Schizosaccharomyces pombe: one gene and its partners. The protein of the gene in region 3 purifies or fractionates together with the protein of the main gene of each other region. This does not show direct contact. Each region holds a gene or a part of one and is shown on either strand. Other genes may lie near its edges.

Region 1 (5,038 bases), on a different chromosome or scaffold from region 3:
CTCCTGTACGTACGAGTTATGGTGGAGATTGGACTTTACATCCTTTTAGTTATAAACATATATAGTGCTGTATTGCTTTTTGGATTGTTCGGCGAAGGTTTTTTTTTGCATTGATCAACAGGTGATGAAATTTCCATTGAACATTCGCAGTTTCCCCGGAGCGGCATACGAACCCAATTTTGCCGCAGATGTCGTGCATAGTCCTTCCTTTGGATGTCTGATGTTGATCTTGCAAATTTTTCCTTTTTTTTTTTTTAATTAAATTTTTTTGTGTTGTGTTTGGCTTGTAGTTGTAGTGGTGATAAAGGTTGATTATCATGTTCTCCAATATAGAGTAGTTAAACTTTTTCTTGTTGTGATGGAAATTGTAGTCTGGTTGATTTATTGAATTCAGTCTATTTAGAATTGCTTGAAAATACTCTTAATAAAATTGTTGCAATGCGTAGAATGGCAATTAACTCTACATAGGTTAAGTAGTCTTTCTATAAAGTAAATAAATCATCTCTAAAAATTTGAAAGCATGTTTAGACAATATACATACAGAAACGCATCAGATTAACTAGAATGAAGACAAAAATATTAAACGTTTGGAAAATTATCTACAAATTAAATGCCAGATTTATCATCCGTATTTTCTAAAGACGCATCACTGTCCCCAGTTCGATCCAATAAATTTGAGATCTCTTTTAGAAACGAGGTTTCTGTTGTAGGAGCCAGCAAAACAGCGAGGAGAGTTTCACTTTTGGGGAAAGAAGATAATGAAATATTTCCAGCTTCCACTAAGCTCAAAAGTCGACGCACCGTAGATATGCCACTCTGAATCACATAACGAAAAGGATTCGTAGTAGGATACTGCGATGCTACACGTGATGGTGGATTAAGGGAAGGATGACCTGATAATAGTATGAGTAGGCGTAACATGGAAACAAAAAATCCCTCGCCTATATTACACCAATTTGCCGCTTGTTCCGATTGTTTAACATAGGAAACGGTAGCTGCTAAACAAAAAAATGACTGCTGCAATAAGGGTAACCTTCGCTCGCATATTTTAAGGCAGTGGCGGTTAAATTTTGGGACAACAGAAGCAAGAAGTAGAAAAAGGGAGTCTAAAAATTTTGGATTGTTATCAAAAATAGCTTGAAAGTTTGTCTTGTTGTTAGCATCTTTGGCTAGTAATTTGGCATAGGCATTAATGGCGGGACCAGCATAGGGATGGGTAGCAGGTGTGTAACTAGGTATAGAGGTTGGAAGGGTGTCATTTAAAATAGTTTTACTCTTCTTTCTGTTAAATGGAGAAAAAGACAAAATAAATAGTAAAACGTGACGAGCAACGTCGACATTCGGTAGAATGAAATTTTGAGAAAGTTGACAAAGTACGATTAATACATCTTTATGCAAATCCAAGGTATTTCTTGATGAACGTAGAAGGGAAGTGGCATGAAAATTAAGACTTTTGACTACACGAATGAGTAGAGGAAAAAAATCTGGATTTTGTACCAAAACGTTTTGGTTGGCCTCAAAGTGAGAGAGATTTCTAAAAATAACGAAAACAGCTAACAAATTTTGCTCCGAATTATGAACATCAATAGCATTGATGCTATCTTTTGTTTTGTTTTCGCTTAGTGAATTTGAAAAGTCTTCTCTGGAGAACTGCGATATCTCTACGCAACAATTGTAAAGAAGTTGTCTATAAGAAGGACGTTTATCGGCGATTTCCATTAAATCCTCATTAGGAAGAACAGATAGCAGATTATCAAGGCACTGAGTTGCAACGTCAATCAACGCATCAACTACATCCTGGCACTCACTTAACGGAAACATCCATTTTTGATCATTTGTTAATATAAGTAAAACGTTCATTGCATACGTTATTTCTTTTTCCAAAGTAGATTGCAGGCTCATGCACAAGGCTTGAATGTTTACAGTCCCCAGATCTACGATTGAAGGCATCTGAAGCCGAAGCAAAGATTCATCGAGCCTATACGTGGCCGCGACATTCAAGGGATAACCCAACATAGGATCGATGGGCTTTTTTATCGGTTGATAAGCAACGGGTTCGGCAGAATCAACAGGAGCTGCCGAAGAAGAAGTTTGAACGGTGGGCGGAGTGGGTCGAGTCGGAGCAGAAGGGTATGGTGGAGCATTTCTTTCAGAACTAACTGTGGTAGGAGCAGCTGGAGAGAAACGATTAGCGGTGAATGCTGGGGAGGGTGACTTTGAGTGAAGTGATCCATGCATAGAACCATTGGCATGTACAGCTTCTGGGGTGGTTTGGACCGGCTTTTGTGGATAGTTTTTTGGTCTGCTTTGAACATTCGCAGAATGATTAGCTTTTGCTTGTTGAAGTGATTTTTGTTGCTGTTGAGCAGCAAGCCATGCTTCTTCATATGGAAGCAGATAGGAATTGTAATATTGAATTAGAAGGGAAATAGCATCAGGAGATGGAAACCCCAAGGAAGCAGAAATTTTTGGCCAAAAATTATGAGCTGAGACTTGTCGAGATCCACCGGCACGCATAACCAAGGCGTACAGCATCATTAAATTAATAGGCGTATTATTTATTTGAGGATAAGATTTGATTGGCGTCCCCCGCTTTTCCATAAAAGAAATAAGGCTAACCATGAATTTGTCAAAACTAGCAGCATAAGCAGGCGTTAGTTGATTAGCATTACCAGAGGGAGTATTTGGGGAAGGTGCAGGTTGAGGAGTTTGTCTTACAGCTGGGTGGGCATTGATGCCAATTTGATTAGGAGGAATTTGTTGAGAGAGTAAGGCCTCTCTGCTTTGCATTTGTCGTTGATAAAGTTGTTGCTGCTGTTGCTGTTGTTGTTGCTGCTGCATTGCAGCCTCTTTTTCTTGTTGAAACGGGATCCGACTTGAAGGCATCATGGGACTAGAGTATTTCACAGATCCAGAGCCATTCCATGCACCGTTAGAGGCGAAATCAAATGATTGATTTGGCAAATTACGTTGAGTTGATGGAGATTGTCGGAAGGGCTGTGAATGAGCCAAATTGTTAGGCTCATTCTCGGAAGTATTCATCATGTTTGCATTTCCATATTCTGCTGCATACATCCCTTGGCTTGTCGAAAAGCGTTGAGGATACGCAGGTTGTTCTTCCTGAGTATTATAACTTTGACCTTGCGTGGGATATGATACTGCGGTTGGATAATCACTCGCAGGAACAAACCCTTGATTATTCATGATTCCTCATACTAAATCAAACAAAGAGTAAAGGGACCTTAAAATACACGTTTCAATATATTAACGTCTAAGGCGCTTGGCAGCTGAAAGTGCTTGAAAAGCAGACGAAGTGCATATAACGAGTTGTTTAGTGCTGCCTTTAAGAACCTAATCTGTGTGTTTCAGAAAATGCTTAAATTCCTAAAAAATCTTTACACTCATTCCTTTAAATCTCGCAAACGTGATTTCTTGCCTTTGCAGTGTCTCTTATTTCCAAGTCAATGACAATTGTTAGCATTGGGAAGCATTTATCGATTAGTCAGGTATCTAAAATTTTAAAAACAAAATAATATCTTATTCCTCTTGTAATAGAAACAATATTTATTAACTTGCTCTGTTAGTAGACTTGGCGAAACTGTAAACAATCACGAGTACAACATCTTCTTCTTGCGGAAACAGATATTTTTTTAATAAATTATTTTTTTTTTTTTTAAAATAGTAAAAGCATATGAGTTAACATATTCGAGATCCCGTTATCCTCCTTTTCTTTCTTTTTTTTTTTTTTTTTTTTTTGAAAGGAGCAATCAAAATTGACACATTAATTCAAATTTATCTGGTCTAACCTTTTTTTTATTTTTTATTCATTATTTTTCCTTCTTTCTTTCTGGCTACATAAGACTCGACGCAATGTCATTTTATAAATTTCATTGTTTTCTATAAACGTGCTTTCATATGTGTAAACCTATTGATGAATGAAACAAGATAGTAGAATATGGTAATTTCTATTATCAAGCAATTGGATTTAGGTTGTTGAACTCTATGGACAAGGGCTTGTACGTGTAAAATATATATGTTTATGACTTAATTATTTACTTTTGCAAATCTATGGTTTCAAGTCAACTCGCAAAAGGAATATCCGATTCAAGAAGGAAAAAAACTAAATACTACAATAAAAAAAGGTTTGTAGTATTTGAGATAAAGATGGAGATGCTATATTGCACATGTAGAATTTGATGGCATAAACAAGAATTAGATTTGAAACAAAAGTCAACTAACACAACTTTCAAGTCCACGTATAAAGCGATTTCTATTCTGACGGTTCATAAAATGTTTAATGAGCTTGCAAACTAAAACCAAGTAATTCGGAAATTAGGTATTTACAAGCTGATAATTAAAATGTGAACCCTTGAATTATTGATAATGAATTATAGATTTTATTAGTTTTAATTCCTTTTTTAAGTAATTTATCAAGTATAGTCCAACTATTTATTTACAAATATTGGTATATTAGGGTGTTTTAATAGAAAAAAAAACAAAAATTAAGCGAAGAAAAGTATTACATTAACAAGCCTGAAAAAGAAGCAAACAAACTAATTAAAAGATGTTAACTATATCAAACTTAAGAGAAAATTATTTAATAAATAAAACCGGAATTAAAAATTCTCTATAACGATGTTAGAGAAATTGTTCTAGTTACGTCGGTGTCCTTCAAAATCTGCCCTTAACCACAATCCCTGTAGGAAAACTATGGATGACATTCCAACTCTTCTTGCGAGAACATTAAACCCTACGACTTCCAAAAGTGGTAAGATACCCCAACAGAGTGGATAAAGCAAATTTACTAACTGATATAGCTGAGGAAGCACTGAAAGTATGGGAATTACAAGATAGTTCTTTTGCACTAAAACTCCTCAATATTGTCGCTGAGGATACAGTAGACATCAATATTAAGCTGGCCGCTTCATTGTATTTCAAAAATTACATTAAAAAACATTGGGATTCTGAGGAAGGTGCTTCTATTCGTATCAGCGATGAGGTGGCAGAATTGATCAAACGCGAAATAATCAACTTGATG
Region 2 (3,931 bases), 2.7 Mb from region 3:
ATTTATTTTTATTGGTACGAATTAACGTTTCCTCAAACAATGTATGTGGATTATGTCAGAATTTATCAAGACTCTTCTGATTCCAGTAGCGTGCTTGGTTGTGATCCTGAAGGTTTCCCTACTACTGAATATATTGCGAACCATCCTAAAGCCTACCTAAATTATAATGCAACCAGTTGGTCAGAAGCAGGATATGTTCGCCCCAAAAACTCACTCATGGACGGATGTTGAAAAACTTCATTTTAATGTAAGGATTGCGAAATCCATATTAAGCGGCATTTTGTCTTCATTCTTTATTTCTTTTCATTTACTTTCATAGAGTTTCACATAAACCATTAGTTAGTCCCTTCTTTCTTTTCTCTCAGTTCTTTCATTTGTTGCATAATTTAACATACGACACAAAGGATTTACACAACGTTTGAGCTGACCTTACTTTCAAAATTTGATAACAACTGGTATATACTAGTACGTTAAAATTGTTGCCCTTAGAATGCTATAGCTCTCTAGTCAATCTATCAATCAGCCGAATGTTAAGAGATCAAGCTGAATAGCCCGAACTTGGGCCGCAAAAGTTGAGTAAACTAGATATGTCAAAGACATTAAGATAAGATAAAAAAAAAATTCATTTAAATAAAAGCCTAATAAATTTTTATCCGATAAGCATATTAGTTGAGATTATTAAGAAGGACTCATAGAAGAAGCTGGGATAACAGAAGTTTCAGCGGAGCTTTGAACTGGTAGACCATTTGCGGCAGTATCCTTCGATTGTAGTTGTTGCTCTATTTTTTTGCGGGCATTTTGACACTCTCGTTTCATATACAATTTTTCCCTATAAGTTGCCTGTGCAAAGGCATCTAATTCTTGGGATTTAAGACGAATGTGCTGATCAAGATAATCAAAATGAGATAACTTGGATTCAATTAGCTTAATTTGCACGTTAACAGAATCCTTTATAATAGAAGCCATTTTCTTTTCTTCATTAGTTAGATATAACTCTGATAGACTATCAGAGTCCTCCAATGATTTACCATTCATCTCGACATCATAACTTTCTGACTCTGGTTTGGGATAAACCGATTCACCTTTAACTTTATCCGACTCCTCCTCTTTTGCGCTGCTTTTCTGTGTGAAAGAAGAAGGTGGTACCATTTTGGCTAAGAAAGAGACTACGGATAAAATAGGGTTCTTCCCCTGCAAAGAATCAACCACAGGATTGGTATGCACTTTGTCCATTTTAAATAAAGCTTTGTCGGAAGAAGGAAGATTAAGGAATTTCAAAATACACTCTTCAACACTTTTTGTGTTCACATGAGAAGCAACCTTTGCCCAGTCGTCACTATACATTTCCACTCCCTCTGACAAAAGAACAAGTTCTTGTGCAGTCCATGTATCATCATCTTCAATTTTATTTTGTATTGCGACCTCCTTATAATCAGCAATTGTGGTCGGTGAAGGAAACCGATTTTGTTGGTAGCAACTTATACAAACGTTATATTTTTGGGCCGTTTGAGATTGGTAGTAACTTTCATTAAATTTATTACCGCAACAGTAACAATGCTGTGGAGAATCTGACTGATCAATGTTGTTTTCATGAAGGTTCGAAAGGCTTGGTTTTTGATTCGGAGTTGAACCCTTACCTTTTAAGACATCGTCGAGAGAGGGATCATAAATATTTGTTCGGACAATCGAAGGATCTTCAATGGTAACAGCTTTGGAACGAGGAATTGAAGAAGAGGGAGGTGGAAGAAGTGGTACCAATCCACGAGGAGTATCAGCAAGGATTTGGAAATGACTTGTGGAAGGGGGACCTATTTTCGAAGGCCGAGTATCGGGGTTAACGTTATAGTTGATTAATCCCCATTGCTCTAGAAATCTATGGACACGCAAGACAGCACATACATCACCAGCCAAATTCCTTCGGCAAGCCGTGAAAGTCAAATAAACTTTGGAGTTCAATCGAAAAGTACTAATCATAAAATCTCGGTATTCCTTATATACCTCTGGTGTTTTCGACGTATTTTTTCCATCAAAGAACTCAGGGTTTTGTTTTTTCTCAATTTCGTGAACTTTAGAGAAATCAAACCATTGCGCCCACTCAGGGACTTCTACTTGTGGTAACTGGCTCAACAAAAATTCTTTGGCCTCGTCTCTGACTTCTGGTTCAGTGTCCTCCTTTTTAGAAACATCCAATTCCATTGGCTGAGCAGAATCTGGTACCCCGTTTTCGTGTAAGTCATGTTTATTTTCAGTAACGTTGGACATTGTGGTGTTAGAGTCTAGTATAATATTTACAAAATCCTCAACGCCAAGGGCTTTAAAAGCTTCACGTCAATAAAATGCACTTAATCAACGAAAAATAATATGTATTACCCTATATGATTGAGGGATACCTTGAAAATTCAAGTTTTTTTAAAATGCCCTGCAATTAGTAGGTAGTGGGAGTTGACTTAGAATGACGATGTCTGGTTAACGAAATATACAGCAAACGCACTATACACTAAAGAATTGAGAAAATATTCAATATGGAAAGTAAAATTTATTGATATGAAGTTAAATATCATATGATATGATGACAATTTATACCATGAATATTAGTGAACTTGTAATTATAATCACTCCTATGTGATCAGCCAACTATAGTAAGAATGCACTCCTTGTGTCATGAGGAAATGCTATACTAGCTTTAAAAGGAGAAAAGCAAGCTAAGAATCTAGTAATTTCGCTCAAATGTGTTATAAATTGAGATTAAAAGAATAAGGGAATTATCAAACCACCTACCAGGAGTGGTACATAAATTAAAACGCTTCATATAAATGGGTTAAGCAAGAATTGTGTGTCAATAAGAGTAAATATTCATTGACTGACAAACTTGCCGTAATTAAAATGCGTAACAATAAGAAACACAAAAGAATTTAGTGTCCTCATTTAGTATATACTGATTATATATGTATACGTTTGGGCATAAAATGAGAACGCCAAGGTTTCTTGGAAAACACATTTAGAATCTCAAAGAACCTTTCTCCGAAAACATAGACGAAATAAATTGTATAAGGAGAATTGATAACGTAAAGATATGCACTATTTTTTTTTAAAGTAAGTAATAGTGGCTGAGTGACTGGATTCATCAACGGTACAACAATTAATTTTTATTCAGAGACTTCTTCGACGGTAGGATTTCTGTGCCTTAAATTCTTTAAAGAAGTGGTGGACGTAGAAGACTTTTCAGGAGTTGCAGAAGCAGCTGGTGAAGTGGCTTTTTTTGACAATTTCTTGGATTTCCTTGTCTTCTTTACCTCAGATTTGGAATTGTGCCAACTCCATAAAGGTTTAAAGCTATCACAGAAGCCAACGTCGGCAAGAAGATTGGGGAATAGCCAAATGCCAGGGCGCACGATGACAGCAGTAATGCAAAATAAGAAAAAACGTAAAATAACCAAAACAAAGAATAGACCGATTACTCCAAGGCCTCCCATACTTAAATACCAAGCACCCTTGCGCATAAACATTGGCCACAAGGGGAACAAAACGAGTGCCAATACGACAAGAGCGAACAGTACTGCCAAAGCCATAACGCGTTTTGGAAGAGGCTCGTAGAGCCAAACATAATGCATATCGTCTTGAAAATCTTGATTACGATTTATCTGTAATTCTACAAGCTTCTGCTTTCTTTGTTTAGGGGGGAGTTTATCAACGCGAACCAGCATCGAATTCATAATGAGCAATTTGAGAACTTCGATTGCTTCCTCACGGCTTGAAATTTCTGGAAACCCTTTGTATTTCTTAGGCGTATACGCTTCGGATGTTAAAAAGCGAAGAACACGCTTCACACGAAAGTAGTATACACGTTTTCCATTGAGGATCGCTGGCTTTGTTTTCAGCTCAGGGCGAGACTTGAGGAAGTTTGTAAAGCGCATCGAAAACTTGCACTTGT
Region 3 (3,840 bases):
AAAGGAATTATCAATTCACTTATTGTTATACAATAATGCTTTCTTTTTTTAAAAAAGGTTGAGCTTGTTTAGAGGATAACGACTCAAGTTCAAAGATTATTTAGGTTCTCGTTATCCATTTTTGTTTTATATTATACTGGAAACTTTCAGAGTTATCATTATTGGCTTTTTAATCTCTAAACTTGGTCAATTTAGTTAAATTATGGCATCAAAAAATTCAAGTTTCAATAGCGTTTTAGATTCAAAAGGTAATTAAGCGACACCACTTTAAAATTGCTTTACACATCTGTTGTAATTTCCGCCAAAAATTTTTGTATGGCATTCATTTGCTTGTGCTATAGTAAAATTGTAAACATATCGTCGTTTTAGATAAATTTATTGATTTGGTTTTCGCAATTGAAATTTTAGTAATGTTGTGCTACCCATTCCTAATTTCCTAAACAAATTTAGATCTTAGTGGTCAAAATTTACTAGTTGCATAAAAATTACATGTAAGGCGTCCGCTACATTGCAAGTCTTACGTTTAGATAAATGATCAATTAAAACATAAAATTACAGGACATAGCTTTTCTATATCATAAACTTCAAAAACACCACTATTTGTTAAATTCCATCCCCTGTTGATATCTTTGCATCAATGCTCGAGCCTGAACTTGAGCTTGTTGTGAATCAAAAAAACGAGATTGCTCATTTTGAATGTTGGGCGTTCCCGAGCGATTTGAGGACCTCGCTAAGTAGTTATCCGTTCGGAACTTTGAGTAGTTATTGTTGGGAGGTCCCATAGAAGTTGCTGAAAATGTTTGAGATAGATTAGGATCGGGTATGTTATGAGAATTGTTTGAAGGAGCACCAGTAAACGAGTTCAATAAGTCTTGTTGGGCCTTCAGACTATTGGCTCCCTGCATTGTAATATAAGAGCCCGAGGAAACAGAATCTGAACGAGTTAATGATGGATTGGCTTTCTCTTCTTGCTGCATAGTCCCTGTATTTCCATGTAAGTCTGTGCCATTTGCATACGAAGACGAATCCCCATTTGAAGGAGGATACGATAGTGTAGATGTCTGAGCGATTTGAAAATATTGCCGGAGTTCTTTGTATAACGGCTCGAGTTGAGGTAGACTTTCAGGACACGAAAGTGGCGGAGTTAAAACTTGCATTTGACGGGGTGAAGCAATTGATACTACAAAAGCTAGATTAGCTTTGAGACGTTGTATATAACTAGTAAATGAATTAGTAACAACGAAAAAAATATAATGTAATAAAAGAGAGACAGTGCGAAGCGCAATTTGAGGAGCCGAAAATGGATACACACAATGAATATCCTTCCGCAGCTAAGTGTGCACGTAAGCAAAACATTTCAATCACTTACCTGTTGAAAAGTTCAGTAGATAAAGCCCGTTGCTCCAATGTCGAATTTTGCGCCGTCTTAATATGCTGAAGTTCTAAGCATTTCCATAAAATCAAACGATTAATTTCTAATAATTTGTTCGCCTTTTCAACTTCCATTGGATTAACCTGTCCGGTTGGGCTCGCGGAGTTTACTATCGGTGGACTTTTCGAAACAAAGCTCATTATTACAAACGTAGTTAACTTAAAAAGGAGATATAACTTAAATAACCAGTTTTTTTAAAAAATTTGTTGTAACTTCTTGTGTTTAAAACCCATTAACTAGGAGTAATGGTAATATATATATATATTTTTTTACAAATGCGAATTTTAGAGTCTCTGATGAATACTGTCGTTAAAAAGTATAAAACAACCTTTAAATGCTATATGGTAATAAACGTGAATGTAACAACACTATAACAATTCAATAGCGACTATATTCCAATAATGACAAGTCAGGTGTATAGTTTAAGCACCTCTAACCTCGGGCAAATAAATTTCTTATTTTACGGAACATTCAAATTCGACTGAATAAGATTGTTGATAACTTTTCAAATATATGCAATAGAATAAATAAATAATAATTATTTAGAGACTAAAGCTGATTTGCACGCTTCATTAACAGAGATAATATTTATACAATTCAATAACAACACTATTAGCGTATAAAAAATAAGTAAATTTAGATTTTTCTATAAATTTGCAATTATATAGACTATTGATAACGTAAAATAAATTATCCCATTTGCTTAATTAAGTAAAATGGTATTTTTTTAATTGAGGTACATCAAAAGAATGTGTTTGAATAATTATGGTTTCGTCCAAAATTCAGTATCTAGTTATGAGGTGAAATGACAAAGTAATTTTGAAATTCGATTAAGGTGAAGATAGATTGAGTTGAATAAGTCATTTTGGGCCAATCGTAAATTTCAAAATGAATACTTTGCATTTTAAAGATAAAAACCAGGGGTATTGAAAAATATTGTTAAGCTAAAATGAGGATTTAAAGCAATAGAAGTCTAAACACGTTCATAGAATAGCATATACGCTTCGACTTTTGAAACCTCGTCCCAGGATGATTCGCGTACAATATTGTCACTAATGTAAAGCCATCGTCTCTCGGGTATGCCAGCTTCAGAACGGAAATCCTTAGAATTCGTAGAAGGGGCACTGAGGTCTAAGAATTTATGAGACAATACGTAAGCAACATAATGACCATAATTCAGGGTGCCACTGTGCACAATGACCCCGAAAAGTCGATATCTAAAACTACTTGAAGCACGTAGGTGTGGCATAACGAACTCGTTTAAATCTAATTCTTGTTCAAACTCAATGAAATCGGAAATTTTTTTGGGATTGGCGTAACCATCGTGGGAAATCTCCTGGAAAAAACGCTTCAAATGGATAATAAAAACAGGAGGTAAAGGGTCATCTAATAACATCCGCTTGTAAGCATTTCTATAAACACTGTTATTAAACGAATATTTATCGTTATCCGACGTCAATCCTCCCTTAGCTGGAGAGCCAACTTCGTTAGGTTGATTACAGCAATTCTCGCAGGCAAACATGTTTTCACCACTTAACTCCTCAACATGAGTAAAGTTTTTGAGACAATCAATAAGTGTCTTAGGCTCCTCTATTATTGGGCTTGATAGTGAAGATTCTGAGAAAATTGAATTACTATTATCAAAATCTTGTTTCGAAATTTGCCCGCTAGAATTGACAGAGAGATCACTTAATCTTCGAGTCAGTTTTTGAAATGGAGACTGTTTCAAACTCTTGTCATTTTCACTAGCATGCCCACCAAGTAAATTTTCATTTAACGAAGAGGAATTAGTAGTCGGGGCTTGATCAGTGTCGTCGTTAGCATTGTCAACAACTATCTTTACAGACGATTTTTTTGGTGAACGACTAAATCGTGAACGGAGAGCACGATGGAATCGATGACGACGACTTACGCGGCTAGACGGGTAATGAATAGGTATGGATAAATCTTGAATAGGTTCAGGAGTGTTAGTAATTTCATTACAACTTTGGCACATCACAACGCTCGTTAAACGGCCTGTAAAAATTGACTTGATCACCAGGCTTGAAGAAAATTCATCCATAGTAGCTTTATCAAGCATCATATCATCTGAAGAAAGTTCACCAAGCCGTAGTATGTCTAGTGAACGCCTTTGAAATTGAGGAGATTTTAAAACTTCTTTTTTAGGACTAGCCTCCTCATGATTAGAACTATTAGATACATTGAAATGAGAATTAGGATCTTCAAAAGAATTGGTACCAGCGACCTCATGTTGACCCTTAAAAACTTGTTGTCCCTTGTCTGAACTGGAATCGAGAAGTTCTGACGATGGAAGGGATTTTGTAGACGAGGCCGCTAATGGCGATGAATTAGCAGGCAAGAAACTGTCATGCTGATGCTGTGAAGAGTCAGATGATTGCGACAACTCC

What was found.
Region 1: the proteins of snf30 (region 3) and sol1 purify together in Schizosaccharomyces pombe (affinity purification with mass spectrometry, with the first as the bait; one study listed by BioGRID). This does not show direct contact.
Region 2: the proteins of snf30 (region 3) and ssr1 purify together in Schizosaccharomyces pombe (affinity purification with mass spectrometry, with the first as the bait; one study listed by BioGRID). This does not show direct contact.

The regions. Positions count from the first base shown.
Region 1 is NC_003423.3:1,308,521-1,313,558, forward strand, and holds sol1 (SWI/SNF complex subunit Sol1), read right to left. Parts: upstream 3,283-5,038; 5' UTR 3,205-3,282; coding exon 607-3,204; 3' UTR 552-606; downstream 1-551. Other genes in the region: karyopherin/importin beta family nuclear export signal receptor Kap109, read left to right, coding at 4,711-4,768, 4,818-5,038.
Region 2 is NC_003424.3:3,604,129-3,608,059, reverse strand, and holds ssr1 (SWI/SNF and RSC complex subunit Ssr1), read right to left. Parts: upstream 2,279-3,931; 5' UTR 2,263-2,278; coding exon 679-2,262; 3' UTR 606-678; downstream 1-605. Other genes in the region: ghs2 (glucosidase), read left to right, coding at 1-231; translocation subcomplex subunit Sec62, read right to left, coding at 3,147-3,931.
Region 3 is NC_003424.3:878,618-882,457, forward strand, and holds snf30 (SWI/SNF complex subunit Snf30), read right to left. Parts: upstream 1,852-3,840; 5' UTR 1,573-1,851; coding exon 1,370-1,572; exon of another isoform or gene 1,219-1,369; coding exon 597-1,218; 3' UTR 530-596; downstream 1-529. Other genes in the region: ubiquitin hydrolase Ubp7, read right to left, coding at 2,406-3,840. UniProt on the Schizosaccharomyces pombe protein: Component of the SWI/SNF complex, an ATP-dependent chromatin remodeling complex, required for the positive and negative regulation of gene expression of a large number of genes.